Alligator mississippiensis: one gene and its partners. The protein of the gene in region 3 purifies or fractionates together with the protein of the main gene of each other region. This does not show direct contact. Links are inferred from orthologs where the notes say so. Each region holds a gene or a part of one and is shown on either strand. Other genes may lie near its edges.

Region 1 (9,953 bases), on a different chromosome or scaffold from region 3:
AACATGCCACATAGGGAAAGATTCAAGGAATTCAATCTATAACTGGATCAGCCAGTAATAACCTACAAGGGGAACAGAAATTTGAGAAATGAGGACTCTTCAATGTCAGAGAAAGGCTTAGCAAGATCCTATAAACTAAAACTCTAATCAAGAATTTTTTCCTTAACAATTAGTGAACGCAGTTATCCCTGAAACGACCCCCCAGAGGCTGCAATACTTCCAATGATGGAGAATCTATAAATCAAGACTGGATATCCACTCTCTAGTTCAAGCAGGAATTAGATTTAGTCAAGGATGTGCAATGGCCTGTATTATGCAGGAACTAAGATTACATGCTGGTAATGGCTCCTTTTTTAGCATTATGATCCATGCGTTAACTGCCTCATTCACCTTAACAGGTAACTGGAAGTCTACAGATAATCTACAGCATGCACAAAAATGTAGAGACAATAACTCATCTAACGAGCATCGCTTAAAAAAAATCCAGCCATTGTAGTATGTTAAGTTTACTTCACAGACTTTAGGTTTTCTACCACAGCTAGCAATGAATACGTTTTCACTAACCACTAAATTGTACAGATTTGTTTCCAGTTGTCATATAATACACAGGCCCTGGCTACAGGTCAGAGTCTTTGAGCCAGTAATTTATAGGACTTAACTGGCCTACAAGGGGTCTAATCCAAAATCCTTTGATTTCAACAGGTCTTACAGCAGGCCCCAAAAAAGAAAGTTATTATACGGCACAGAGCCACTGGCTAAAAAGTCAAGCTTCTCAGCCATTCTCCCTCCTAAATTTACGATACTTTAATTGGCAGTAAATTATTTGAGAAACTCAAAACTGGTCAGCAGCATCATATTCAGCACCGGGAAGGAATATTTATGTTGAAGAAGCCCCCACAGAGGGAAGATGATTTAAGAATACTGGCAGCAGCCTGGTTCCCTCAAGTCAAGGGTTCCCAAACTGTGGTATGCAAGCCATCTCTGCAGGGTACGTGGGAGAAATAGTGTAATGGTGGATTTAATTTTCATTATAATAATAATGGGCATTTAAGGAGTTAAAATACAAGACATAGGCTGGGAGGGGTACTCAGGCAGCTGGTAAATCTGGAAGGGGGTACGCAGTAGGAAAAAGCGTGGGAACCTCTACCTTAAGTAAAAAAAAATGCCTAGAAAATAGCAAAGGTTGAGTACGAATACACAAAGGACAATAAAGAGCATACTGGGCAGCACTTACACTGGGTTTGGTTTATACTAGTGATTTTCAACCTTTATTTTCATTTGTGGACCCCTACAACATTTTGAATGGAGGTAGGTTCCTTTGAATTGTAAGCACGGGTATTCACATACTTTTGATTGATGATAGTCATCTTTCATGGACCCCTTAGACATAGTCTGCTGTCCCCCTGGGATCCGCAGACCACAGGTTGAAAACCACTGGTCTATGCAATGCAATTCAAAACTAAGCAGTACATAGCACAATGCTCTTGGGGACTCTGTTTTGCTTCCCCCCCAACATATTTATTTACAATTATCACCATTTGTTTTGGCATGCAAGGCAAATAATACCCAAAATATCAAACAGAGAAATATATTATTTACCCAATTAAGTTACAATTACAGTTAAATTGGCCTCATTTTCTATTCACCTATCATTCCTCTTTGCATTTAGTCCTTCGCAGCAACTATTTTTCCAACAATGGTCTATTAATTGGGAGAGACAGCAGCTTACTTCAAATGAACTCCAAGAGAAAGGTATAATGTGTTTCCTGCACTGGAAAGGAAGCCCGAAACTCTGGGGACCAGACAACGCTACAGGAGGCCATTCACAATCAAGCAGATTATCTCTTTTCTTTGCTAGCTATTATGACCTGTCTGGTCTAGTTTGCATAAATGTGTTTTTATTCACTGCAATATTGGTCTTGTAAGACTAGGGAAAAAAATCTTGACCAAATGCGAACTGTCACATCACTTACACACACGTACACCCAGAATACATGATGGACTACTGGGAAAAGGACATTAAAAATGTATTTGCAGTGGTGACTGACTCGCAATGCTTTAGGCTTTCCCCTGCTATCGCATTAACATGCAGACGAGCAATCACAACTATTGCTAGACAGTCTCTTAGATGAACATATTCATCTTCTGGCAATAAGCATAGTTTTCCCATTAGAAGGGTTTTCTTCTATTGTTAAGTTTTAACTCTGGTATGGCACACACCCAACTACTAAAGAAAAAAGAGAAGAGTGGTAAAGGGGAAAATGCTTTACTTAAGAAACTGGTTTACAAAATAAGCTGGTTTCAATGCACAAAATCAGCTTATAATCATCTAAATTAAACTAGTCTTACAGACCTCAAGATTGAGGAAAGTTAATTGGCCAACGCACATCACCATTTAAACTAGGCAGGCAATCCTCTAACCAAAAGAATTAAATCCTCTCTCTAATTTGAGCTGTCAGGTCATTTTTATCGCTTGTCATAACCGTCATAAGAGACATTATGAGACTTTTTCAGTTTGAAGCTTCATTTTGGAGAAGCAGGTCCCCCCCTTCTTTGCTTTCGTGCAAAGGTAACAAGAAGATGCCAAGCCGACTCTGGATTACATTTTTAGAACTCCGAGCAGATGCTCAAGCTGTTCTGAGAGTTTCTAGCAGTGATTCAATGCTGCTTTGTGCTATTTATGGCACTAGATGCAGCGACTGAGCATTCGCAGTTTGGGCAGGAAATTAAGATTTTGTTTTGTTTTTTAAAAGGAGGGTGGGAAAGCAGAGCTGCACCTATGACCATAAGATCAGGTTTGGCCCGAATGGAAATGTAAACACCAGAGCATTTTTTCTGGTATTGTCCTACCCTTGCACTCCCAGCTGCCCAAGTGCAGTTTAGTTTACCGAGCCTGCTGCAATCACACAAAGAGGAAACTAAATATGCCGAACGAGACGGAGCTGAGGCTCTGATAAGTTAAGAAGTTTTCTTCCACGTCTTGTTACATCATCAGGCCTCTGATAACTTTAAGTGTTGTCCTTTATGCACTACCCCGCATCTCAGGAAAAAAAATGACTGTAAAAAGTCTGATAAATCATCAGTTGTTTGCGACGCCACAGTCGATTTGGCAAGCTGAGAAAAGTGCATGACAACCTATTCAAACAAAACAAAACAAAACAAGTCTCCAAGTGGATTGAAATTCATTTCTACAGTTTCCAGTTACCGCACAGACCTGCGCTCCGGGGAAGAGCGAGGTCCTCGGCCCGGAGGAATCAAGAAAAGTCACCGCGTTTGGGCCCCGGGGAGGGAGGGTGTGGGGGGGGGGAGGGAAATCGGGCACAACCTCCGCGGTCACGACCCGAGCCAGAGCTGTTTGCCAGTCACGTCCTTTCAAAATCCAGCTAAAATTGAAGAAGCGACTGAAAAGCGACGGCACTTCCAGCTGCGCGCAGAACAACAACAACGCCACGCGCATCCGCAACACAACACGGATTTATGCAACCTAATTCAAGCCCAGCCGGAGCGGGGAGCGACCTGCTCCGCAGCCCCCCTTCCCTTCCCTTCCCTTCCCTTCCCTTCCCTTCCCCTCGCCCTGCAAAGCGCAGCGCAACGCACCCCGGCCTCCCCGGCCCCGCCGCACAGCACCCACCGCCAAGTTATTTTTGTTGAAACAAAAGGTTTGGGGGGTGGGGGGGGGGTGTCACGGCCACCGAACCTGCACATCAGCCGGAGCCGCATTCCCCGCCGGGGGCTGCAGCGACGCTCCTGCGCCCCGGCTCCCCGGCCCAGCCGGACCCAGCCCCCGTACGCCCAGACCCCTGCAGCCTCTGCACACCCCCATACACCTAGACCTCTATAGACCCCTATAGACCCAGACCTCTGCGGTGCGGTCCCTGCAGACCCAGACCCTTACAGACCTGTAAAGAGCCAGCGCCTGAAAGGTCCAGGTCCCTACAGTCCCCTGACAGACCCAGACCCTACAGTCTCGTAGACCGCTGCGGTCCCCTCGAGACCCAGCCAGTCTCGGGCGGGCGGGCGGGCTCACCCGAGCACGACGAGCTCGCCGTACTTGACAGGCTCCTTGTTGGGCGCGCAGTGCTCCTCCTGGCTCGGCGAAAACATGGGGCCGCGCTGGGCCGGGACTGGGACCCGGACCCGGACCCGGGACCGACCGGGGCCGCCGCCGCCGCGCTCCGCGCTGCCCGCGCCGCCGCCGCCGCCACTGCCGCCGAGCGGGGGGGGGGGGCCGGGGGGCGGGGACGTACCACCTCGCCCCGGGGGGGAGGTGCCGAGGGCGGGGGCGGGACCCAGGCGCGCCCCGCCTCCGCGAACCGCTCGAAGCCGCCTCCTGGCTGCACCGCCTCACGTTTCCCCCCCCCCCCCCGCTGGGCCGGCTGTGGTGCGGCCCGCTCTGTTATGTAAACATAGAGTACGGCGCCCGGCGGGTCTTAAAGGGGCCGCTCAGCTGAGAGCAGCGCCCCCCCTCGGGGAGGACCGTACCACTGCGGGTCACCCCCGCTCTCCCCCCTACCCCCACCCCAGCGGCCTGGGATAGGACGGCGGCGGTTCTAGCTCGCCAGCCCGCGTTCTAGGGCCGCAGTGACGTCACGGGGCTGCTCTCACCCCCTCCTCCCAAATCTGTGCCCTGGGGTTCTAGATCCACCGCACGGCTTGAGCTCTAGGGGCCTGCTCTGGACCCTGGCCCAGGGGCAAGGGGTTCTAGAGCATGGGTGCAGGGTTCTAGAGCATGGGTGCAGGGTTCTGCCGCAGGGGCTTCTCCATCCTTTCTTGGCATGATGTTCTGGATCCACCCTGCTTTTTTCGTGAACCAGAGATGGAGCCTCAGTGACCAGCCCCTCCCCCTGTTCTAGATCGGCATCTTCCGCTTGGCTCCAGAACGCTGCTCCAGATGCGTGTCCCTCTGCCCTGTGTCAGAGCAGGTAGCACCCACACTCCCCCCCCCCCCCCATGTTTCAGGGCAGCGTCTTCACACTTGGCTGGACCCCAGTTCTAGATCAGCCGCTTCAACTGGCACGGGAGACCGTTGTGCTTTCTGCCCCATCCTCAAGCCAGAGCTCCAGATCCGTCCTGAGCCCCGCCAGGAAAGGGTGTTCAGGGCGGCGTGTCCGTACCCCAGGTTGCAGCGAGGCTCCTAGCTCTCCGGTAATCGTGTCTGGTGCCAGGTTTAGGTTTAAGCTACTTAAACTACCAGTTTAGAGCCTCACCATATGAGGGGCCTCTAAATAAGAACAAAAAACCTGGGCATTTTCATTCTAATATGACAAAAAATATACATACATATGGCTCCACAGTTATTCATATTGAGTTCATAAATTTGTGCAGAAATAATAATTCACCTTAAAATTTCAGGAAAATCCATTTTTGTAGATTTTATGGATTATTTTTATTGTACAGGGCCTCTTAAAGTGGATGTAGTTTAGGGGTTCAGTATGTCGTACTCCAGCAACGACCACATCAGTGTTGGAAACGGGCTGCAGACCGCTGCTCCCTGTCCTCGGAGTGGATGTGTTCTAGATTTCCCCCCAGGAGCCCTCTGCCTTCTACAGCAGCCACAGCGTTGCTCCAGCAGCCAGCGCGGGGGTCCATACGAGCAACAACCTCTCCAGGTTAGGAGTGCGAGACGACGGCTGCAGCCACCCAAAGCAGTGGATTTGGGTGCAAGTCCAAGCGCCCAGATTAGGGAATTCTGTTTCAGGCACAAAACAATCCACAGCCAAAATTCAACCCTGCTGGCACTGGCGACTTGAGCAAGAGGTTTTAGATTGCCAGCCTGCTCTGGGGCCCGGGTGGCCACCCTGTGCCATGAGCAGCCTGGGCAGCCTCTCTGCGCGGCACTCCACGGATCAGGGAGGGGACAGATTGGGGAGTAGCAGTTAGGGCAGGAAGCAGAAAGTTGAGCAGGAAATAAAGTAGGGGGCACAAGACAGGAAACAAAAAGCAGAGCAGATCAGGCAAAGTGGCTCTTGGGAAAGGTGTAAGACTCACTGCCAGGAAGGGCTGCCACCCCCACTCCCATGTCCCCACTCTGGAAATACCAATTTTCTACCATCTCAGTGCACAGTAGAAAATATCAACCGATGAGACCTGATCCTGCGGGGTCTGAAGGCACTTTGTGCATGCCCCGAGCTTCTGAAATCTCAAGCACCATGGCAGGCTGGAGATTTGGGAAATTTTGCACACATTGAATCGAGATCAGAAATCATTGCTCACAACAGCTCTCAGCAATTTAGCTGACAGGTAGTAAAGGGACCTGGGACGAGCCAAGTATTTAAGATAAGGTGTGGGAAGGCAGGTCGGGCACAAGGGAGAGGGCACCAGATTGCTGCTCTTTGAGCTCCCCTGACCCCAGTCGTGACTGCAAGCTATTGGTGCAATTCACAATGGTTCAATAATCGTCCGTGGTGATGCTGAGAGTCATAGTGGTAATGCCCTGCGCTGTATCCCAATTGTAGCAGGAGCGGCAGCACAGTGAGCGGCAAAAATGAACAAGAAAATGATGCAGAATGAGGCTCTGCTGAAAGCTCCAAGTTAGCAAAGATACGCACATCTGTACGAGACTGTTGGGAGGACCGAAGAATGTTTTCACTGGGAATTAGGCAGCCGGACAGCATTAGCACCAAAGTTTGATTTATTCGTGGTTTTGATAGATCAGTCTAAACCACAACATTCAGATCAGGCCCTTCCCCACCCCCCTCTCCACCCCAAGCACAATCAGGATGGGTTTAATGTGGGGGAATTAGCATAGACATGTCTAATGTATTTTTTCTAGATGTATCAAGTTCTTTGCTAGCTAGTGAGGCTGATTGTAAGCAAAGGTAGAAGAGGGAAAATTTACTTGTAAAACAAGCCACCTTTAATCCAAGTCATATTTAGGAGGAGCCAAAAAAGAGACATGCAGAGAAACCTCCGAATGTGAGTGGTGCCGGCAGCACTCATGATTAACATTAAAATACACCTGCTCCATCCATCACCCCTCCCCTTCGTAAGGACAAACCTATTATATTATGGGGACAGCCAGGACCACAGACATCGTCGACACTGTCATCATGTTTGATGGGCAAAGAAAACTTTCTTTTAAAACTGCCTCTTTACCAACCTGCCCCACTCCCCTCATATGTATGCAAATGGATGGCAATAATGATATTATGTCAGGGAGGCAGTCAAGCTAATATCCAGCATACTCAGGCACTGCCAGTACAATGCTGAATAATGCACAACAGTCTGGGCACTTACTGAATGCTCAATTAATGACTAGACCCATGGGTGTTGCCCTTGGAGGGTTTCTAAATTCTAGCTTGGCTGCCTGTGAGATTTTGCCCCTGAGCAGTCAACTGGCTTCAATATCACAGCTGATAGGAAGTAAATACTATTTTATTTTTCAGCAATTTAGAAAGAAATGGGAATGTCCACCTTGCCAGCCGCTCGCGCTTTGTTTCATCTTCCAAGGCTTAACATTACCCTGTGCTTTTGTTCTTCAGGCAGTTCTTGTCTTAGGCTATTAAAAAAAATTATGAGAAATTTAAAGAACGCTGTTTAAAAGTCCATGTTTCCACTCTGCAGACATTTATGCTCTGTTTTATCTTTCCAAGCTTTACAACTACACTGAGCTTCTGAGGTCTCTCTCTTCTGGGAGCTGGACTTTTGCAGCCTTTCAAAAACTTTAAAAAGAAAGTCCTGCATTAAAGCCGTTGATCAGATTATTAATGAGCTGCCAAACAGAATGAGAGTGCTGTCCCTTTCCTTTCAGATACAGAGGCGGGAGCTTTGTGAATGCAATGTAGTTTGTGCGTGTTATTTCCAAAACACGGCGTGTAATCCTGGGTAGAAGACTTCAAGAGGGATGGTTGGAAATACTGAAAACCAGGGTGAAGGAGTCGGGCAATCCTAGCATAGTAGGTTATTAGAAAGTATGAATGAAATGTACAGTGCCAGATCATGGGTCCTTTTGCATTACTGTGGGGCATACAGAGGTGCCTCGGCATGTGTCAAGATGCCCATTGTGCTGGGAGCCTGTTGGATATGTGGTCAAGAGGGGAGAGGGCATGGCTGAGCACTGGCATGTGGCAGCAAACCTCAGTTGCTGTCCTGGCTCCATTGGAGCAGTCATCAGCCAGTGGACGTCCAGCAACGCTGAATCTGCACTGGCTAGTATCAAGGGCCCAGCCAGATCCAAAAACAGGAAAGCCTAGAAGCAGAAAACCACCTTTGTCTTCCTGCACCATACAAGCACCGTGCCCACAGACTTGGATTTTCAGCCAGTCCCACTCAGCAAACACAGCTGCCTATTGCACAGCTTATTATCACACTGATCACTATTGTCCCCGCGCTCCCTTGCACTCTCCCTTCTCTATGTATCCACATGCTGGCTCCTGTTTTTTCCCTTTTCTTTGAAGCCAGAACTGTGTTATTCATTCTCTGCTTGCACCACTCCTAACACAATGGGTCCCAGTCTATGACCAAGGTTCCCAGGTGCAATGGTAATACAAATAAATATTGAGTAATAACAGTGGCATGTCCCCACCAACGTCGGGGTGTGTGGCCAGTTATCTAGTGTGCAAGCATCCACGCAGTGTGTAGCTGCATAACAGATTCACAGGGACCTTTCCAGGAAAGTAGCTGTGAAACACCAAAACAGAAACAGGTGTGGGGGGAAAAACCCAGCCGCTACATTTCACAACTCCAGAACCTGAATCTCTTACAGTACCGAATTCACCTGGCAGATTTCTCTAGATTTCAGCCCTTTTTTTTCTCCTTTTCTTTTTGCTTGATGCTTACCAACAGCTCAAAATCAGCCCAGGTGAGCTAGAAATTAGTGAGACTCCATTGGAAAGTTTCATTTACTCAATATTGAGACTTCCATGCCACAGCGAACGTACAAAAGTCACTATATATTGCATCTGCGCATTCTGCGGTTCTGGCCTTGATTCAGCAGTGAGGTTGGCAGGTGCCGGCCCCTCCAAGTGCTCCTTCCAGGATTAAGACCTTAGAATACATTGAACTCTAATGCATTCATTGTTAATTGTGTCCTGGTTCTCTTACTGGAACATTTTATTTTCCTTCAGTGCAATTATATTTAGCCATTAATTTCCCTGGCAATTACTTTTTTTTCTGCCATGTCTGGTGATAAGGAGAAATGGAAAATCCAACCAATCTTGAAATGCTGCAGAACTGGGATTTTCCTAAAGGCTCTGAGGAAATGACAAGATTTTATTAAAGACATGGAGCTGAATTATTGCAGATTTATCTTCTTTATTGCCCTGACACAACAGAAAAGAAAGCTGTGCAGTGAGTCACTGCCAGAGGAAACAAATACATTTTAAAAACCAATGTGAAAAATCAAATGCATTAGCGGCTGCTGCTTCTTCAAGCTTCCCTCAAATGTGAACAAGAATTTGTATGAACTGCTCTTTCATGTAACCTCATCCAAATTAAATTTACTTCCAAGAAATGCCCCAAATAATTCAGCCCAGTCCTACTTGCATTCAAGTCACTAGGAAAATGTCCCTCCAGTTCTTTGGGAGTGGGAGCTAGTCCCTTTAGAACGAACAGATCTTTTGACATCTCAAAATGAATGGGAACATCTTTTAACGCTTTCCTTGCTGCAAATTTTGGGAAAGATGGCACCATATATGGCACCCCCAGCTTACAGATGAGTGGGTAGAAAACCAAGGAGATACGCACTTCCTATACAGGATGTCTAATAAGGGTGTCACCAGTAGCTCTTTGGTGGATTATCTAGAGTAGTGTTCCTCAACCTTCTTAGACTCAAGGCCCCCCTCAGAAAATACCAGCTCTTAGTTTTCGCTTGTTTTTTTGACAACAGAAAAAATACTGGAAATTCTTCGGTTGCAGACAGCTCAGAAAGATCACAACAGAGCAGAATACTTTGGGCACAATGAATTCCCATTTGAAATCTCCAGGGTTAACCTATGACTCATATTTGCACACCT
Region 2 (9,879 bases), on a different chromosome or scaffold from region 3:
AATGGAAGGGGGCGGGGCAGTGGCGTGACCAGAAATACACTGTGCTTGGGCTATTTTGGATTGTTGAACAGCTCCAGGATATTGTTGGCAATTTAAGCTACAGCAGCCTTAGCATCTGTTTTCAACTGCAGAAACCAGGGAGTGCAAAAGTAACAAAAGGCAGTGTGGTCTATACACTGGGCTGTACTGGGCTCAACTTGGTTGCAGTCAAGAATTGTTTGAGTAGTTATGTATTTTTTTAAATGCTAAACACTTGGTAATCTCTCATGATTACAGACAAAAAAAATCACTGACTATAAAATTTAAAATAACTGCTGCTCTCTCTAGCAATCCTCTCCAGTAGGATGTGATTATAATGGGGTTTTCTTGCAATGTGAGACTTTACAGCTCACTTATTCAAATGGGCTCACATCCCCTGGTATGTGAAATTCCTATCTTTATCACTGTTACTATTTTAATGAGCTGATTTTTTGCATTATTTGGTTGAAAAGTATTAAATGAGCTATTAAGCACACAAATATTTAATCTTTTCCTTTACCTCCTTGACCACAAAAGAGTAGTGAATATATGAATAACCTAGATCAGTACTGTTAGAAATGACACTAAACTATATTAGGACATCAATTAACTCTAGAAAGTAAATACATTTAAAAATTAACTCCTATTTAAGTAATATATGAAGTTTTCTTTTTCATACTAATTTTGCTTTCTCAAAGGCATGGTAAATTCACATGCAAGTGTGCACAAATGCACACTTTGTTAGTTATTTCTCAAGCTATTCACAGCATGTGAAGTGCACACATGAAGTGGCCAAAAAGGAGCAAAGGACTGTGTGTTCTGAATTCCAGCAAACATATCACACCAGTGGGGCAGTGATTTCAGTTAACTTGCAAGTCACATAATTGATTAGATTGATTTACAGTAGCATACATGAAATCAAAATCTGAGCCCTTGAACTCTGAGTTTGCTCATTGTCACATTGTACAAAGACTGAGAGAGATAACACTGAAAATAAAAACATAGGGATTTACTCTTACCCAGCCCAAAATTACTTCCTCATCTGCTGACGTTGAGAAACTCTCCCACCAAGGTCACTCCTTATCTACACTGATACATTTTTCTCAGCAGTCTGTGTCTAAGGAATAGTAACTTAATGATTATGGAAAACAGTCCTTCCCAGTGGTGGGCCCACATCTCTTCCTACATAAAAACTACATACAGGAATTAGCTTCCTAGGAATGAGATCAGTGGTCTTGCCAGTCACCCAGGGAAGCATCAGTAAGTAGATATCACCTGAAGCAGGTTCTCTCTGCGTGAAATCCACAATGAAGCTACCAGCCACAGAGACAAACATAAACTCAATGGCCACAATTACATAGAATCATCAGTCAGTAGGGGTCTCAGAGACTAAATTTGAGGGAGCTGTTACCAGAAATTAACGATCAAGGAAGCTTGCTAGGGAGTCTGTGCTGGGTCAGCCGCACTATTTAATGTTGTTCGGCCGGTGCAAATCAGTCAGAAGCCTTGTTTAAATGGCTACTAGAAGATATCACTTGTGTGGGGCTCTATAGAAAATCCTATATACATGGCATGTAGCCAGAGGAAAGGGGGTGCTGCCTATATGTAGTAATACTATGATGATCCCCAACTCCACATACAGCCTAGCTGGCGTAATGTACTGATTGAGTGTATATTGATCACAAGATCACAAGGGATTGCAAAACTTTCTTGGTACAGACCCCACTGGTGTTCTACCAGTCCATTTACTGGACAGCATCCTTGGGCCAAATACACCTTTGAGGTAAGTCAGTGGGGCTGAACCTTCCAGCTCTGTGGGCCAAATGAGTGGTGTGAAGCTGGATCCCTCACATGGGATTGGTTTATGGTGTATCCAGTGTGGGGTCAACACAGTCTGTGGGTACAATCCAGTGAGCTGGCCCAACCCTGAACACAGCCCAATATCATGAGCTGGATCCAGCTGCTGAGTGACACCCCCATGCCAGCAGGTCTGACACATGCCAGCATGATCTAGTAGATAAGGCCATGTCATCTGCCCCATGGGGCTTGCCATGTGTTCAGAAATTGGGCAGCATGGGAGGGATAATTAATGCTGTAATCCCCCCGCCCCCAATTTCTGGACTTGGGGGGATACTCGTGGGCCAGATGACATGGCCTCACAAGGTGGATCTGGCCCACAGACCAGAGATTGAGCACCGTTGATGTAAGCTGAGTGAATTGTGTCAGGGGTGAATTTGGTCTTTTTTGTTAAATTTAATTGATGTATTTTCTGGCTTGCTTTCTTTGCCAGTGGCAAGCAGATAGCTAAGCCTTTTACTTTTGTTCCATGATAATGTTCAGTGCTGTTTGTTGATGATAAATGCTTTAAGGTTCCTGAACAGGCAAAAGGAAAGGTCTGTTTTGCTTCATTTATAGTCCTATAGTTTGAAATGAATTCTAGTTCCATCAGAAGAGCAATTTATAAATATACCAGGGAACATAACAGCCTCTATCCTCAGCTAGCTGTTCAGCTTGCATCTGGTATCAACTGTATTATCTGATCAAGGCCTCCCTATCAATTATATCAAATAATGTCCATTTTTAGAGCTAGCAAGACAAAAGCAAAAGATGCTTTTTCCTTCTCCATACATATGTTATGGTAGCATGAAAAAGATCTGTTATATATTTGGAATGCTCTTAATTGTACTGTTCTATTTCCAGCTGTTGGAATCTGCACTAGAATTTTAATTAATGACTAAATTTATGCAGCAAATCCGAACAGGAAACAGTTATGCTATTTAAATAGGTTTTGAAATTCTCAGATTTTATCTCCCAGAACAGCACTCAGATGAATATTAGAGCTGCTTTTGTTCTTCTGAAAAGACTGGAATTGCACAACAAGCTGGAGGAGATATGACTCCTGGCATGAGGGCACAGGTGGTTTCCTCATCAAGGGCCAAATCACACACGCCTGCAGAATCATAGAATCATGGAGCTGGAAGAGACCTCTAAGGTCATCTAGAAAACCAAAGCAAGGGGAACTCTGTGCCTTTTTTCCTCACTGATGTTTCTGTCATTGGGTGGGTGAGAATCTGCTGAATGGGCAGGAAATTTGAATGCTGGAACCTGTGGGTCCTCTGAGATCTAAATGGATTTTAGGGGACTTGCTGTAGAAGTCTGTGTAGCAGTCTTATTCTTCCACTTGGTCTCCTGTTGCTTTTACTCATTCTTCTGTCCGGACAGATCCAATTAGGCTATGATGAAGTAACTGGGTGCTTAAGTGCTCTTGGCAGCAGCTGTGCATGGGGCAGTGTCAGTGGTTGTGCTGCTGACAGCATGCCAGTGGCAGTGCCAACAGCACAGATGCTGCTCTTTTTGTGCTACCCACCCAGGGTTGCTGCCTCAGACTGGTGCCTCAATCTTCTTCTCTTCATTATTCTTCTGCCATGATGACACGGACTGCACCATTTGCTACTACCCTACTTCCACCCCTAGAAGGATTCATTTTTGTTAGGAAGAAAGTCTGCTCAGGAACAATAATGATTTTGTGTGGGCAAAACAAGCAAAGCAAGGTTTAAGTTCAACATGAAAGTGATATGGCTAAACTTCATGTTGTCATGCTATATAACATTGGCATTTCACTGCAACTGTGTGGTGCTGTTTCACTGCTGTTGTGGAATCACAGCGTACTGATATTTCAGTACAATGCAAGAATGATTATCCCATCACTGTGCCACCTTATGATGTCATTTCAGTGCAACTTCTCAGATATTTCACTAAACAATTGTGGTTCCCCTTCCATCTCCTTCAGCATACTGTATAATGCTGTATTCTGATGGCAATATTTACTTTGTTCCACTTCCATCTTGTAACACTGCATCACAGTGGATGCATCTATGTGAGATGCTGACTGCGCAGTAGCCTCAGCCTGATAACTACTGCGCAGTAGCATTGCGTGGCAAAAAATGTGATGCGACACTACTGTGCAGTAGTATTAGGCTACTGTGCAATAGTGTCACCAAAAAGGCATTTGCCGGTGCTACTGCGTAGTAACTCAGGTTACTATGCATTTATTTAATACTTGTTTATACGAGTTTATATTTATACAAGTACTAAATAAATGTGCAGTAACGACTGTGCAGTAGCATCTCATGTAGACGCGGCCAGTAAGTTCTGGGCATGAGGAAGTGGTAATAGTGAGGTATCTTCCACCACTGGCACCCTGCTACATGATATTTCAGCCCCACACGTACAATTTTCCTGTGCAACACCATGGTGCTGGTGCATGGAAACAATGATCCACTGCAGCACAGTTACATTTTAGTACAAGGCAAAGGAATGTATCTGCCACACTGACATACTAACTTCATAGTGACATTTTCATGAAACATGAGGATGATCCTACATTGTCAAATTATTATGTTTTGGGCACAGCAAAGATGATAGAGATGATGTTTTGGTGCTATGTCATCACTTTCTCACAGTGATATTTCTGTGCAAGGTGACAACAGTAATGTTTTACCCCATATTGCCATGTCACATCCTAGTGGGTTACAGCACCCTGCTTTACTACTGTATCACAGGAGCAGTTTGGCTCTAATGCTGCCTTGGGTCTGGACAGTGATAACTCAGTAATGGGCAGTCCAACTCAGTGCAGCAGGTTTACTGTGGTCTACTGGTGTCCATCCATGTGGGTCTTCTGTGTAGGGCTTTTTTGGAGCAGGGTGGAAGTACCTCAACGGGCATCTTGGAATAGGACAGTGGTGTCTGACTAACTAGGGTGCAGAAGCATTTCAGGACTGGGCACTAGAGTCTTGTCATTTGGCAGGAAAATCCCTCATTTGGCACAGTGACTATTCTGGCGTGAGGCAGATCAGCTCTCATTTTGGGACAGAGGCTTCACAGCACAAGAGAGCGGTGTACAGTATTATCTTGGTGGCTATCTAGTTATGGGGAGTGTCTTCAGACCCTACAGTGATCTCTTGTGCAGGGTAAGATTGTCTCCCACCAGCGCCAGGGCACCTTGGATATGGTCCTTTTGGTGTGGTACAGTGACAGCTCACCCTGGGATATACTAGGGCAACCATGTCACATGGCAGGCCTTTCTCTGGAGTTTCTGTGCGATGGTACCTCGGCAATTGCCTCTAGGGCTGGGGCCAGTGGCCATTTTGGTACGGATGGCGCAGCCTGCATGAAGGCGGCCATGGCCGTGGTGCTGCAGCCTGGAACGTGCCTCAGTGTGATGCATCTGAGTGTGTGGGTAGTGACTGTATTAGTATAGGGGCCATTTTGGTGGCAGGCGCTACCATATGTGTAGGGGTCAAAGTCCCAGGCATGGGGACAGCTGTTTTGAGGGAAAGCCTTGTGTTGTGGGGCAGAGGTGAGGCACTGCAGCACTCCCAGGCACCCTGAACCCCACCCTTTGGTAGTGATCCATCCACACCAAGGGCAGAGTGAGAAAGGTCTCCAGTACCAGTATTGCACATGCGTGCTGCCTCTTCGCGCATGCGCAACACAGCTTCTTGAGACCGATTTCTCAGGAGAGCGCTGTCCCATAACAGCCTCTTGCGCAGGCGCCAATTCCCATCAGCGAGACTAACTCACAGCTTCCGAGGTGGGGGGGCAGTAAGAGAGCACGAGTGTCGTAGCGCGCATGCGCCACGTTCTCACCACGGGCGCCCCGCCCGTCCCCTCCAGCGCATGCGCGGAGGCCACGCCGCCACTGCGAGGGCGTCAGACGGGGCAGGAGGAGAAGTCAACTCACAAGCTAACCACCCGTTGCATCACGCATGCGCAGCGGCGAATAACGGGGCGGGGTGGGGCGGGGCGCGTCAGCTGACTCCGGAGCTCGGCGTTCGGAGGCTGTTAACGGTAGCGGCGGCCTGGCCGGGCGGAAGGCGGAGGTTCCTGGTCCGAGTGAGGCGCTATGGCGACCACTGTCAGCACCCAGCGGGGCCCGGTGAGTGTCGGCCGGCAGCGGGCAACTGGGCCCCCCCAGTCTCGGCCCCGCGGGGGGGGGAGGCCCTGAGGATTTCCCGCTGTGTGTGCGCATGCGTGGTTTCCCCTCCCCCCCCTTTTTGGGGCCTCCCTTGCCCCACGTGCTGGGGGAGGGGGACTCTGGGTCGGGACTGGCCGTCGATGTTTGTAAACGGGTCCTGGTACAAAAAAGGCTGAGAACCACCGGGATCGAGGACGACTTACCCTCCCAGGAGCCTGTGCTGGCGGCACACAGGGGTGTCCCACTCGGCCCTGGCTGCTAGGACCACCCTCTGCTAGGTGACGTTGTTCGAGATGTGACAGGGGGCGGGTGGCACCATTGGAGTGTGATCCTGCTTTGGGCAGGGGGTTGGAGTGGGCCTCCTGAGGTCCCTTGCAGCCCTGGGCTTCTGATTCTACCATGGATCGAGTGGGGCTGCATTGAGACACCAAGTGTTCAAGCGCAAGAGCACTTCTTCCGGTCTCACCAGTCATTCATTTGATCTGCCCAGAGACACCCTGCCCCCAAAATCCAGTTTCTTGGACATTGCGACAGCATCATTCCAGTGTTACCACAGACACAGACGTGTGATGAAACCCTGCTTTACTCTTCTGTTCCAGTTCTCTCGTCCTTGCCTGCGTCTGGGGGCAGTCTGAATTTTGTGTTAGTACGTCTATTTACAATTGAACCCTGGTCTTCAGGTATTTATAGGGAACAAAATGGCTAGGCTGAGCAAACTAGCGGACTTATGTAGTGATGCTGAGAGGCAAGAAGACTAGGTTGTTTGTTACACTGGCCTTATCTGATGATGATGGAAGTGTGTTAGTGATCTCGTTTCCTGCGGTTTCCCCTTTGTGTTAGCTCTTTAAGAATATGTTTCTCTTTACAAATGGATTTTGTTAACTTTCGTTGCTAGGCCCTAAAGCCTTTATATGGAGGGAGGCCTTTTGTCATTTTCTTTGGCTGGGCGCCTGCCTGCAACCTTTCGCTTCTGGACTTTCCTCTCCACTAACCCCAAAAGGGCTCTTGCTTCAAATCCGTGACCGCATATATAAAACGGTTTCCTTTCTACTGGAGAAGAGCAGCCTTTCAAGACTATGTATATCCCCTTTCCTGATAGTCTTTCCACAGAAAAACTAATGCAGTTTCTATATTCCTTCCTTGTGACATGGAGGGCAAACAGCATCTTCCAAAACTGTAATGTCAGTAAGTAGACACTAAAGGGGGCTAACAGGCTAAATACAAGGTCCTGTCTAATGCTCTAATGCTGCAGAGAGTGTTACCTCTTTATCCTTCTAGCTTGCTCAAACTGGAAGCTTTCCAAGGTTGTCTTGGACGTGGGTGTCTGGGAGTACATGACAGAATGCCACCAGACTTATTTTTATGCCTACACTTTCTGATCTGTAGTTCTCATTTATATGTACATGGCAAACATTCCTAATTGCAGCTTATTTTTTCAGATGTATTAAAAGTGAAATTCCTTCTGCCCTCTTCTGATAAATGTTCAGGTGAAATATAAAGAATGTATGTATGGCAGAATATATAATGGCTGCTGTATTTCATTATGTAATTTGCAATATCTGGTACTTTTATAAAAAAAAAAAATGACTAGTGTTACTGGGGGGGGGGAATGGGGGAAATTTCTGTTTCTAAACTTATGAGATTAAAATACGCAGTTTGATTCCTTAGTTTGGTTCTCTCTGCATTCAGGACTGGAAGGGACCACAGGGTGCTCTGGGAGTTGAGGGGTGATGGGGGCTGTAGTTAAAGTGCCCCTGTTGCCATTTTTCAGCACAAGGACGTTGATCCACATGATGCTCATTTCTGCTGGAGAGCGGTAATTGCCATGTTCTAGCAGACTCAATTAATTGAGTCTGCTCCGACACACTGTAATTAGAGCATGTCCGAGCAGCCTCCCTGCATGTATATAGGCACAGAGAGACTAGTCTCTGTTATTGTTGGTAACTGTGATACAAACTGATAAAGAACCTTGGAACCTTGCTCTCCTGGTAAGACAGAAATTGGTTTCTGACTAAACTTTAAACCTGTTTGTACTTGTGTCAATATTGTCATTTAGCCTGACTGATCTTTTCACATCCCTCTGGTGTCCATCCTGATACATTTTCATCTTGCTAGGCTAAATAACCAACCTTTTTTAGTCTCCCTTCCAAAGATAAGATATTGGGAGAAAAAGGAGAGCCAAGTAGCCCTTCTCTGTACCTGCTTCTTTTTGAATTTATCTTTCTTGAATATGGAAGGCAAAGCAATCAATTTTGTTTATACTAACACCATACCTTGATGATGGGATACTAGGTCTCTAGGCCAGTTCTGACACACATCTGTCACTAAAGATGCACTGATCCTTTTTCACACAATTTATTTTACTAATCTTAATTTTTCCAAGTAAAAAACATATGTTGTAAAACTGCTATTTATGTATTACTTATTTGGCATTAAAAACAGTTTTATTTGTTTTCTGTTCTAGAGTGAACACGAACTCACTTTTGACACTTTTACCTAGTGCCTAATAACGTTTCATAAGATAAGACTGTTACATTTCTGCTAACCCAGAGCTAGTGAAAGGAATTGCAGTAAGTAACCACTGCTTCAAACAAGGCAAACTTGCTCTGCCTCAATTTAGGGGTTAGGAGGGAACAGATGAAACTATTGTGATGCTGCTCAATCTGGTATCAGTCCTCTCTTCAACCCTCCTATCCACTTCCATGCCAGCTTTTAAGTGGGGTAACTGTGTCATCTTTTCTGTCTCTAACTTGAAATGTTAATTATTTAGACATGGTTCTCAATCAGGGTGCTGGGAGACCCCATTAGGTGTGTTGTGATACAGTCTAGCCCCCTCTGCCATTTTCAGAAAAGTGGTGAAGGGGTGACATGACTCCAAAAAGGTCGAGAACCACTCATTCAGACTGCATGGCTACTAAATAGGATGCTCTGGTTTGGAAGCATTGGAGAGAGCATGTTCAAAAGGTAGCATGGTGTATGTGTGGTTCCCCTCTCCCCCTTGATTCTGTTTCTACTTACGGATCTATCAAGGGGATGCCGAATGCCTGTGTAATATGTATAACAGTTCATATACTGGACCTTCCGTCTGAGGGATTCATATATACTGTATGATGGACAGCTCATGTACCTCATCACTTTCATCCTCCATAAAATAGAGAAAATCTTTATCTTGTGGAGTGTTAGATGGTTAATATTTCTAAATCAAAGTGGAACGTAAGCATTCTGATGTCTCGAGCATGAACCACTAACTATGGTTCTTTCCTACATCATATCTGAAGAGACTCTAATTCTGACTTTAACCAGTTGTTATGCTTCTTAATTACAAAGGTGCAGGTGGGTGGGTTTGTTTTTGTTTTTCCAAAAACAAAATAATCTGGTTTTGATGGTGAACGGATTAATGAATTAAATGGTGAAGAACAGATTTCTTTTTGTAAATAGCAAGAGTGGTGATATCAAGATAAGCTTATTTTTCTTATCTGTAGACAAAAAGCCTTGACAATCTAGTTGATCTCTGATTTAGCTATTGAGAAATTCAGCTCAGTTAGTCAGTAAAAGGAGAAAAAGGTTGGGCAAAATGTTTTCAAGCTATAATCCCTCTTCAATAAAATATACTGAAGGCGTTTCTACAGCTTTTATTTCTGCTGAGTCTTTCATGTTGCCATTTTTTGCATCAGACATCAACACTTCAGAGTCAAGATTGGCAAAATGCTATTTCTCCTTGTTTTGGGAGTTTGGGAAGGGAATGGTTTAAGTTTGCCCTTCTCTTAGCTCTGTAGAAAACATGTAGGTCTGTCCACACTACAGCCCAATGATGGATTTGCAGTTCATTATGGGATACAGGAGCAAACTTTAAGCCACTTGATTTAGATTGATAACAAGGTAAC
Region 3 (9,683 bases):
CATCTCAGAGAGGAACAGAGGATTGTGGGTACGATGCTCCCTCAAAAGGCTCTAGGGAATGGGCCTGAGGCAGGGGCATGCTGGGGGTGGGGGTGGAGGGGCCTCACCACACCAAAGCTGTAGGTGTCAATGGCAGGGGAGAGTGCACCAGTCTGCACGTACTCGGGGGGCAGGTAGGCCAGGGTCCCCCGCACTGTGCCCGTACGGCCCAGGGTCCCACTGCGGCCCCCCCGGCCTCCCCCCACTCCCACCCGTGCCAGCCCGAAGTCACTCAGCCGGGGGGTCAGTGCCTGGTCCAGCAAGATGTTTGAGCTGGAGGGAAGAAAATGGGTGAGACACAGTCCAAGGATATGCCCCCGCCCCCGGGACCCAGGGCCCCTCTAGCCCCACTATGTTCCTCATTCCTAACCCCGCCCCCCCCCAATGCCCCTCACTCCTGACCTGCAGCACTCACCTCTTGACATCCCCATGGATGAGACTGGGCACGTCCTGATGGAGGAACTGGATGGCCCGGGCAGCCCCCACCAGTACTGACAGGCGCTGAGGCCACGTCAGTGGAGGACGCCCATCCTGGGCAGGGGGGCACAGAAGAGGGGAGGATTTGGGTGGGGGTGGCACCAGCAGCTGCCCCTTCCACACCCACTCCAGCCAGGACTCAGTCCCACATACCTCCCCAGTGCCCCTCACTCCCAACCTGAAGCTCTCCCCCCGCCAACAGCCCCAAGGGGCTTCTCACTCCTAACCCCCACAGTGGGGGCTACCTGTGGGCGTAGCCGGTCATCCAAGGACCCGTTGGGCATGAAGACGTAGACAAGGCAGAAGTGGCCCTTCTCAGCACAGAACCCAGCCAGTTCCACAATATTCGGGTGCCGGTACCTGGGAGGGGCCCTGGCATTAGCCCAGTGGTGCGTCTTATTCCTGACCCCCTTCCCCCCCCCAAACATAGCCCCACGGTGCCCCTCACCCCCAACTCCCAGTCCCCCCTACCCCTATCATAGCTCTGCAGTGCCCCTTACTCCCAACCTACAGCCCCCCTCACCGCGAGAGCTTCTCCAGCTCTGTGATGAAACTGTTATGGACAAGGTTCCAGTTCAGCTCTGCATCCTGGAGGGCAGGGGGGAAGTTAGTGAGAGAACAGGGGTCACCCTGACTTGGCACTACAAAGGGCTGGGGGGGGGGGGAGGAGGAGGAAGAGCAGAAGATGCAAAGGATTCAGGGAAAGATAATGGCTGGTGCAAAGGATGCTGAAAAAAGGGCCTATAGTGGGCAGAGAGGAAGGTCAAGGACTAGAGAGTGCAAAGGATGCTGGGGAGAGGACACAAGAGAGAGAAGCAGGCAACGCAAAGGATGCCTGGAAGGGGCCTATGGATTGGGGAGAAGGTAGAAGATGGGACAGCGCAAAGCATACCGGGAAGCCCCCCCTCACCTCCTTGAGGCGCTTGACAGCACAATCCGTGTGCCGCAGCCGGGCACGGTAGACACAACCAAAGCCACCTTCGCCCACCTTGTGCTGCTCTGAGAAACCGCCCGTGGCCTCCACCAACTCTGCCAGGGGCCATGCCAGGAGACGTGGGAACCCTGGGGGTGGCAGGACCTGGCGGCACAAACACATAGCCCACTCCCTTCACTGCAGCACAGCATTCTGGGGAATAGGGCAGCAAAGAACTTTCTCCCCTGTCCCAGACTCCATTTACCCAAAGGATTATGGGTAGGACCCACCCCAAAGGACTCTGGGTAATAGACCCAGAGCAGGACAGCAAAGGATTATGGTTATAACTGCTATGCCCCACCCCCACCCCCTCCCCAGAATTCTGGGTCAGGAACCCAGGGTCTGAGAGCACAAAGGATTCGGGAACAGCCCTCCTGAGCCAGAGAGCAAGGCATTCTGGGTACAGCACCCTCATCCCCACCTTTCCTGAAGAACCCAAGGGCCATCCCCCCACACCCCTAGTTAGCCCCTCCCCCTTACCTGGCTGAGAAGAGTCACAGGGTCAGGAGAGGTCACGGTGTCATGGCTGCTGGTGCTGAGGAGGCTGCGGGGTGGGGGGCCAGGGAGGGGCAACGAGAGGCAGGATGGCTCTGGGGGGCAGGGCAGGAAGTCACTGAGGGGGCAGGGGGTGACCCCCACCCTCCCCCAAACTCTGAGAGGCAGTTACCTGGAAGGGGTGGGACTGGCACGGGCAGAGCCTTTGGCGGGTCCCAGGGAAGGGTCCGAGCAGTACTGCAGGGGGCAGGGGGCACGGATGGCAGAGGCACAGATGGCAGGGGAGGGGCCAGGGAGGTGCTGTGGGGCAGGCGTGTCCATGGCTCGGGAGGGGGCTGCCCTGGGAAGAAATAATGGACCAGAGATGAGGTTCCCATAGCCCCCACAGAGACTCCCTTGCTCTACCCACAATTCCTCCTGTCAATCCAGAGCCCCCCACAGCTCCCCACCCTCTAATACTCCCCCAAATTCCCCCCTCTCCCCCAGAGACCCCCCACAGCTCTTCCTTCCCCCCCCTCCCCCCCCCACAACCAGGGTTCTGCCCACCAGGGACCCTGGGGGATATAGGCGGGGGCTGCAAGTCAGAAGTGAGCGGCACTGTAGAGCATAAGTGAGGCTGTGGATTGGGATTGAGGGCCACCAACATGCAGGGGAGCTGCAGGCTGAGCAAGGGTCCCTCTGGGGTATAAGGATGGAGATAAAGGTCAGTAATGAGGGGCACAGTGGGCTGGGTGGAGTGGGGCTCTCACAGCTGGCGATGAGGTCATGGGCCCAGTCCAACTCCAGCTCTCCCAGCAAGGCAAGCAGGTCGCCCACACGGGCATTGCGGTGGCCCCAGCTCCAGAGCACCCGCTGTGTCCGGCCCTCGCTGGTGCCCGCCAGCCGAAGCTCCACTTGGTCCCGCACCACTCTGGAAGCTGGGGGCAGGGCAGGGTGCGGGGCTTCAGGTTCCACCCCTGCTACAAGCCTCCCCCAGCAGTGCCCCCACCCACCAGTCCATTCTCAGTATAAACCAGTATAGCCACTGACTCCCCTATATCCCACCCAGTATAAACCAGCATGTCCCAGTAGTGGCCAGTGAATGCTGCCCTCCAGGCTCCTTCCATCCCAGTGGACCTCAGCTAGCTCCCAGCATGCATCAGGAGACCACAAGGCCTCCCAGCAGGCTCTAGTATGTCATGGTGACTCCCCGGTACATATCAGTATGCTCCAGTGACTGAACTCCCTGGACATCCCTGACTGGCCCAGTTTCCCCAGTGTTCCATGCCCCTATCCCAGTTTCCAACTCTCTCCCAGTTTGTTCCAGTCCCCGTCAGTTACTCCTATTCCCTATCCAGGGTGCCCTAGTCCCCGCTAGTCACTCCCAGTCTCTCCTCCAGTATGCCCCAGTCCCCACCAGTTGCTCCCAGTTGCCTTCCCAATATTTTGCAGTCCTCTGTTTCCAACAGTTGCTACTAGTAACCTCCCAGGATGCCCCCACCTCACCTACTCCCCTTCCTAGTTTGCCCCAGTGCCACCAGTCACTCCCAGTCTCCTCCCAAGTACATCCCAGTCCTTCCTGGTCCCCACCAGCTGCTCCCAGTTTGCCCCAGTCCCCAGCAGGTACTCCCAACTGCCTTCCCAGTGTGTTCCAGTCCCAGTTCTCACCACTTGCTCCCAGTCCTCTTCTCAGTATACCCCATTCCCCCCCTGCCACTTCCAGCCCCCCTCCCAGGATGTCCCAGAGCCCACCAACAGGCACTGTCAGTCTCTCTCCCAGTATGCACCAGTCTCCTACAGTCACTCCCAGTCCTCCAAGTCACTCCCAGTTTTCACCAGTCGTTCCCAGGTCCCTCCCAGGATACTCCAGTCCCCATCAGTCTCTCCCAGTATGCCTCAGTTCCTCCTACTTTGCAACAGTTACCGAAACGTTCCCAGTCCGCACGACCCAATGCGTCCATCAGGCGACAGAAGCTACACATGAGCCAGGCCGGGAGCTCATGCAAGAACCGTCCGGTGCCAGGCCCGGATCCGGCCATGCCACCCGATCCAGCCCGGTCCGCCCCAGAAAACCAATCACTTCCCCTTTAAGAGTGACCATAACGGCCCAGCAGGTGCATGCGCTCTAGCCTCCAGAGGCCCCCCCCCCACCCCCGCTTCGTGACGCCATCTTGAGTGTGGTGAATCTTAAGTCCCACCACGCCCCCACATAGCGTGGAGGGCAAAGGCAGTGCCATTCGGGGCGTGGCGGAACGAGAGAAACCCGGGCGCGACGCCAGTTTAGGAAGGGCGGAAGTTCCGCCTCTATTATAAGCGCATTGGCCTAGGGACCCCCCCCGTCGCCATCTTGAGTGTGGCGGAAAGGAAACCTCTGCCGAGAGCCATATGCAAAGTGGCAGCTTGAGGGGCGGGGCGTTATTACATAAAAGGACCTCATTGGCTGCTCTAAGGAGATGAGCGAGAGTCTTCCTCCCGCAAAGCACTCTGGGAGTGGGAGGGAGCAGTCGACAAAAAGCAAAGGGAGTCGCCTGTAGGCGTGGGCGTGGCTTGGGGTGGGAGGGGCTTGTAGACGGAGCTATGACTAGGGCAGCAGCTGGGGTAGTCTAAGTAGAGCTTGGGTTATAGATGGGTGAGGGTCTGTGATGTCATCAGGATGATGGCATCATGAGGGATGCCCCCAGTCCAGCTCCCCAGGTGATCTCATGCACTAACATCATTCCCACGTGCAGCATTATGTCATCAATACAGACACGACCCCATGGTGGCCCCTGGATCCCATTCTCCACTTCTTCGGGCTGTGGTTTCCTGCTTAGGGTTAGTACCCAGACACCCCAGTTCTATCACAGTTCTGGGGGGAAGCGGGGCCTGGTGGGCTAGAATGGGGAGCTGGGAGCTCAGGAGCTCAGGCCTGGCTTCTATGGAAGATCTAGGACAGGAGCAGGGTCTTGCAGGTTAGGAACTGTGAACCTGGACATCAGGGTTCTATCCTAGCCCTGAAGAGAAGCAGGGTCTGGGGATCTGGGAGCCAGGACACCTGGGCTCTATTTCACCTCTAGAGAGAAGTGGGGGTCTGCGGGTTACAGTGGGGAGGGGCGGGGGACCTGGATACCTGGGTTCTATCCTACCCTGGCGAAGCAGTGTGGCCTGATAGAGTAGGGAAGGGATTCACAATCAGGACCTCACTGCTGGGTGCCCGTGGCTGCCCCCTGGCTTCTCTCTGTGTCCCACAGAGGGGGGAGATCCAGGGTGTGGCAGGAGAGGCAAACTGCAGTCTCCCTTGCATCCCAGTAGCTTAGACATATTCCCACTCCTGGGGGCCCAAGGACCATGGCTTGATCCCACCAGAGAGTGAGCTGAGAGCAAATCCACCCTAGCTGTAGCTTCTCCAGCATGGTGAAGGGAGTGGATGCCCCTCAGCCCCATGGGGGGGCGGGGTCTTTTGCAATGAAGGCAAGGAAGTCATCCGTGGGTTAATTGTACATAGATTTATAGCTCGAGTCTAGCACAGAATACAGTACTTACCAACAAGAGATGCAATTATAGCACTGAAATAACCTATGCAGAGAGTTACTTGCGCTTGGAGTCTGGACCGAATTTTACATGGGGGGGGGGGGGTCAGAAATGAAGGAGGTCCAAAAATTGGGCAGGGTCCAAAATTTCTGGTGGGTAGGGGAGGGATAGAAACTCAAGGTGGCAAGGAACCAAAATGGGGAGGGAAGAAAGAAAAAGGTGACGCCTAGGCCCCAAGATAAGGGGAAATGTGGGTGACACGTTCCCCCCCACTTGTTGGAGGGGGATGCACAGCCATGTACACGCATGTGCTGAGCTGGGAGGGGGTCTGTTTCCAGTCACACATGGCTAAGGCAAATGTCTCCAGTGTCTCTCTGTCTCTCCCAGAATAAATAGGTGGGGTGGGGGGGAGCAGACACAGACAGGTACATTCGGGGGAAGGGGGGTGTCTCAGGCCTTGCTCCCCCCCCCCCCCCCGCTGGTATCTTTTTTGGGGGGGTTTTGTCGCTTTTTTTTTTACTGAAATGATACAAATTCCATCCTTTAATAAACTGCTTCAACCTCCCAGGGAATGACCCCTTCCAGCAACAGACTCCAACATGGGACTGGAGTGGATGAGCATGGATGGGGGATCCCCAGCTGCTTGCAATCTCCCCATTCCCCCTGGGGGGTGGAATCCGGATCCCCTGAGGCCTTAGCTGAGAGTGGGGGGTCTCTTCCCAAGTTGGAATTCAGTCCCTAGGGGTCACAGCAGGGCAGATGCCCCTCCTCTACACCCAGGCATGGTTCCACCCCATCCAGGCCCCCCAAAAGCCCAGCTCTCCATGATGACAGCCATGGCTCCCCAGCCATGGCCTAGGAGTCCCCCTCTATGTGTGCGTGGCAGTGGGAGGGGCCGGACAGCTGCACATGGGACCAGTGCAGAATATATATGTAGACCAGAGGAGAGGGAGCTTGTAGACCAGAAGAGAGGGAGCTAAGCCTGCTGTATACAGCTCCCATCACAGGGGCCAGCTCCGAAATGTGGGGAGGAGCCCACAGGAGCACGTGGTTGCGATGGAGGGAGGGAGCTCTGTGTGCATGATGATAACAGTCCTGGTGATATTTGGTCGAACAATGAATACCGAGGCTTGGAAGCTGGGAATGTGGTGGTTGTGGGGAGGGGTTTGATTGCATCAGTGGGACTGGGGGCCTTCCCCATTCCCCCCACCCAGTACCCCCCAGAAGTGGCCACCTGGGGCCAGTGTGTGGAAGAATGGTACTCCCCCCCCTTCCCCCAGGCTGCTATTGTTGACTGCGATGGAGCGGTAGGCAGGGCTGCCCTGCCATGTAGGTAACAGATGCCAAATAATGCCCCGTCCCCACACCCGGCATGAAGGTAATGGGTGCTGAGTAACTCCCCTCCACCCTGCTATGAAGGTAACAGGTGCCAAGTAACCCCCTAGTCATGAAGGTAACAGATGCCGGATAACTCCCCTCTGCCCTGCCATGAAGGTAATGGGTGCCAGGTAACTCCCCCTCCCCAATCTGCCATGAAGGTAAGGGGTGCTGGGCAATTCTCCTCTGCCCCACCACAAAGGTAATGGCTGCTAAGTAATCCCCCCTGTCATGAAGGTAATGGATGTCAGGTAACTCCCCTCCACCCCACCATGAAGGTAATGGGTGCCAAGTGTCTCCACTCCATCACCCTGGGTGGGAAAGGTGCTAGGCAGGAAGGAGTTAAGTCCTCAGCATTCCTTAGTTTTCTAACTAGCTCTGCCCTGAGAGGAGTGGGGGGGGACATGTCCCCTTTGATAGATGCCCCCTAAAGTGCAAAGCTTTGCCTCACAGGATGGAGCAGTTGGGGTGTGGCCGCCCTAGAGATGGACTATCTCCTCCCTTCCCTGGGCTGTCAGTCTCCCAGTACACAGTGTAAGACAGTAGCCCCCTGTGCCCAGCCACAGCTCCATGATGGGGTAGCTGGAAATGGAGTTACCCTCATAGCCCTGCCATGATGGCCCCCAATAGCCAGAGGACTCCACAGTGAGGCCTGGGATCTGACTGTATGATCCCTAACATGCAGGGAACTCTAGATTGCAGCCTATCCATGATCTGATCCCATGTGACCCCACCTGCATTCCAATATCCTCCCCTGGAACAGCTTGGCCATGATCTGACCCCACAACCCCACCTGCACCCCAATATCCAGGGAGCCCCACATTACAGCCTATGATCTGACCCATTGTGACCACCTGCACCCTAACAAAGAGAGGCCTGCCCATAATCTAACTCTATGTGACCCCATGTGTGCCCTGACATCCAGAGAACCCCACATCATGGCTTGTCCATGCCCTGACCCCGTGTGACCTCACCTGCACCCTGGTATTCAGAAAACCCCACAGCTGCACCTGTCTGTGATCTGACCCCATGTGACCCTCAATATCCAAGAAACCCCACATCACAGCCTGTCCATGATCTGACCCCTTGTGACTCCCACCTGCATCCAGATACTCAGGGAACCCCACGGCCCCATCTGCCTGTGTGTGACCCTATGTGCACCCCAATATCCAGGGAACCGCATGGCAGTCTGTGATCTGACCCCACGTACACGCCTATGTCCAGTGAACTCCATGACAGAGCTTGTCTATAACCTGACCCCGAGCCCAGTTTCAACCACATCCTGACCTCTGGGGAACCCCAGGCTGTGATCTACCTATGACCCTCAGCCTTGGCAACCGCTCTCACCCTGTGCCTAGCCCAGGAATCCCTGGTTACTCCCAGGAAGCCCTCCAACAAAAGGCAGAGGGATGGGGACAGCACCCCCTTCTGCAGCTCCCACGGAGGGGGAAGGGATTCAGGGTTAAAAGAATCATGACCCCCACACACCACTCCCCCTAACCATGGGGGGCCCCCAAAAACCCTGAACCCTTGACCACTAGGCAGGTGCAGTCCCACAACCCCTGACAGGAAGTCCTGCCCCTCCCCACACCTGGCTAGTTAGTGCAAATAATCCCCCCCACTCCATGCCTGCCGAGAACTGGAAGAAGTGCCCCCCCTCCCCACAATGCACTGGGGCCGCAGCAAGGACGAAGTTTGGAGGGGAGGTTCCCCGGTTCCTACCTGCTGGGAGCCTGCTGGGGGCGGAGAGGCGTGCAGCGTACACACGTTCCCCTCCCCCTGGCCCACCAGTCGTTGTGGGGAGAGGGGCAGTAGTTGGAGGAAAGTGCAAAGTGGCTCCCGGCCCCCATGGGCGCTGTGCTTTTCGCTAGGAAATACCAGGGTGGGGGGAGGGGGGCAGGGTAGGCTGGGGGAGAGCACATGGGCTGGCGAGGGGGGGTGCTCAGCCTGGCCCAGCCCTGCGGAGCTGCCTCGAGTCCCGAGGAGGGTGTGGGGGGAGGGGCAGGGGGTGCCATCCATCTGTCCGTCCGTCCGTGCTGCTGCACCCCCCCTCCCGTTACACCCCCGTCACACTCTGGCACTCAGAGTCAGCTGACCCGCTCGGAGACAGGCGTCCTGGTGTCCACGGCGTCGTCCCTGGCACCGGGCCGAGGGCCAGCGGGGGGCGGGGGGGCCAACGACGTGGAGGTGGAAGAGGAAGAGGAGGACGAAGAAGAAGAAGAGGACACAGTGTCTTTGCGTTCACCCTCTGCCCGGTGCTTGACGGCTAGGGCAGGCGGCTGAGTCTTGGGGGGGTCAGCAGGGCAGGCCCGGGCCCCAGCCGCCTCCTCAGCGCAGCCCTGGTTGCTCAGGTCCTGGGGCGTGGGTGTGGGTGCGGGCGTGGCCGCAGGTGCTGGGCACACGCTGTCCGGGGGGCTGGCAGGGGGCTCCGGGTGTGGCGGCTGCAGCAGCGGTGGCAGGGGCGGCTCCTTCTTGGCAGGTAAACTGCCCCCGGCTCCCCCCCGCCCCTTGGGGCTGCCCTCCTTGCTGCGGCGCCCGGCCTTGGGTCCCTTGGGGCCACCACGCTCAGGGGCAGGCGGCAGAGGTCTTGGCTCTAGGGCCACAGCCTCCCGGGTCTTGCGCTTCTTGATGGGCAGCAGGGTCTCGTGGGCTGCAGCTGGTGCAGTTGCTGACACCACTGCCTCCTTGGCTGCCTTCTTGCGGACTTCAGCAGCTGCCACTGGGGTGCCCACACCCGCCCCGCCACCTGGCTTGCGGCCCCGCTTCTTGGGGGTGGCTTGGAGGTCTGGCTCTGCCTTGCGTTTGCGCCCAGGCCGTCGGAGGGCCAGCACAG

What was found.
Region 1: the proteins of IRAK1 (region 3) and PELI2 purify together in Homo sapiens (affinity purification with western blotting; 7 studies listed by BioGRID and IntAct, with this or other methods). This does not show direct contact. The link is inferred for Alligator mississippiensis from reciprocal best matches to the Homo sapiens genes IRAK1 and PELI2.
Region 2: the proteins of IRAK1 (region 3) and TOLLIP purify together in Homo sapiens (affinity purification with western blotting; 11 studies listed by BioGRID and IntAct, with this or other methods). This does not show direct contact. The link is inferred for Alligator mississippiensis from reciprocal best matches to the Homo sapiens genes IRAK1 and TOLLIP.

The regions. Positions count from the first base shown.
Region 1 is NC_081825.1:293,732,768-293,742,720, reverse strand, and holds the start of PELI2 (E3 ubiquitin-protein ligase pellino homolog 2), read right to left. Parts: upstream 4,191-9,953; 5' UTR 4,105-4,190; coding exon 4,028-4,104; intron 1-4,027. UniProt on the Homo sapiens protein: E3 ubiquitin ligase catalyzing the covalent attachment of ubiquitin moieties onto substrate proteins. Involved in the TLR and IL-1 signaling pathways via interaction with the complex containing IRAK kinases and TRAF6.
Region 2 is NC_081825.1:186,446,783-186,456,661, reverse strand, and holds the start of TOLLIP (toll-interacting protein), read left to right. Parts: upstream 1-5,815; 5' UTR 5,816-5,923; coding exon 5,924-5,956; intron 5,957-9,879. UniProt on the Homo sapiens protein: Component of the signaling pathway of IL-1 and Toll-like receptors. Inhibits cell activation by microbial products. Recruits IRAK1 to the IL-1 receptor complex. Inhibits IRAK1 phosphorylation and kinase activity.
Region 3 is NC_081831.1:28,782,707-28,792,389, reverse strand, and holds the start of IRAK1 (interleukin-1 receptor-associated kinase 1), read right to left. Parts: upstream 4,094-9,683; 5' UTR 4,003-4,093; coding exon 3,888-4,002; intron 2,902-3,887; coding exon 2,734-2,901; intron 2,325-2,733; coding exon 2,157-2,324; intron 2,080-2,156; coding exon 1,970-2,079; intron 1,595-1,969; coding exon 1,427-1,594; intron 1,105-1,426; coding exon 1,040-1,104; intron 877-1,039; coding exon 762-876; intron 571-761; coding exon 455-570; intron 313-454; coding exon 108-312; intron 1-107. Other genes in the region: MECP2 (methyl-CpG-binding protein 2), read right to left, coding at 8,938-9,683.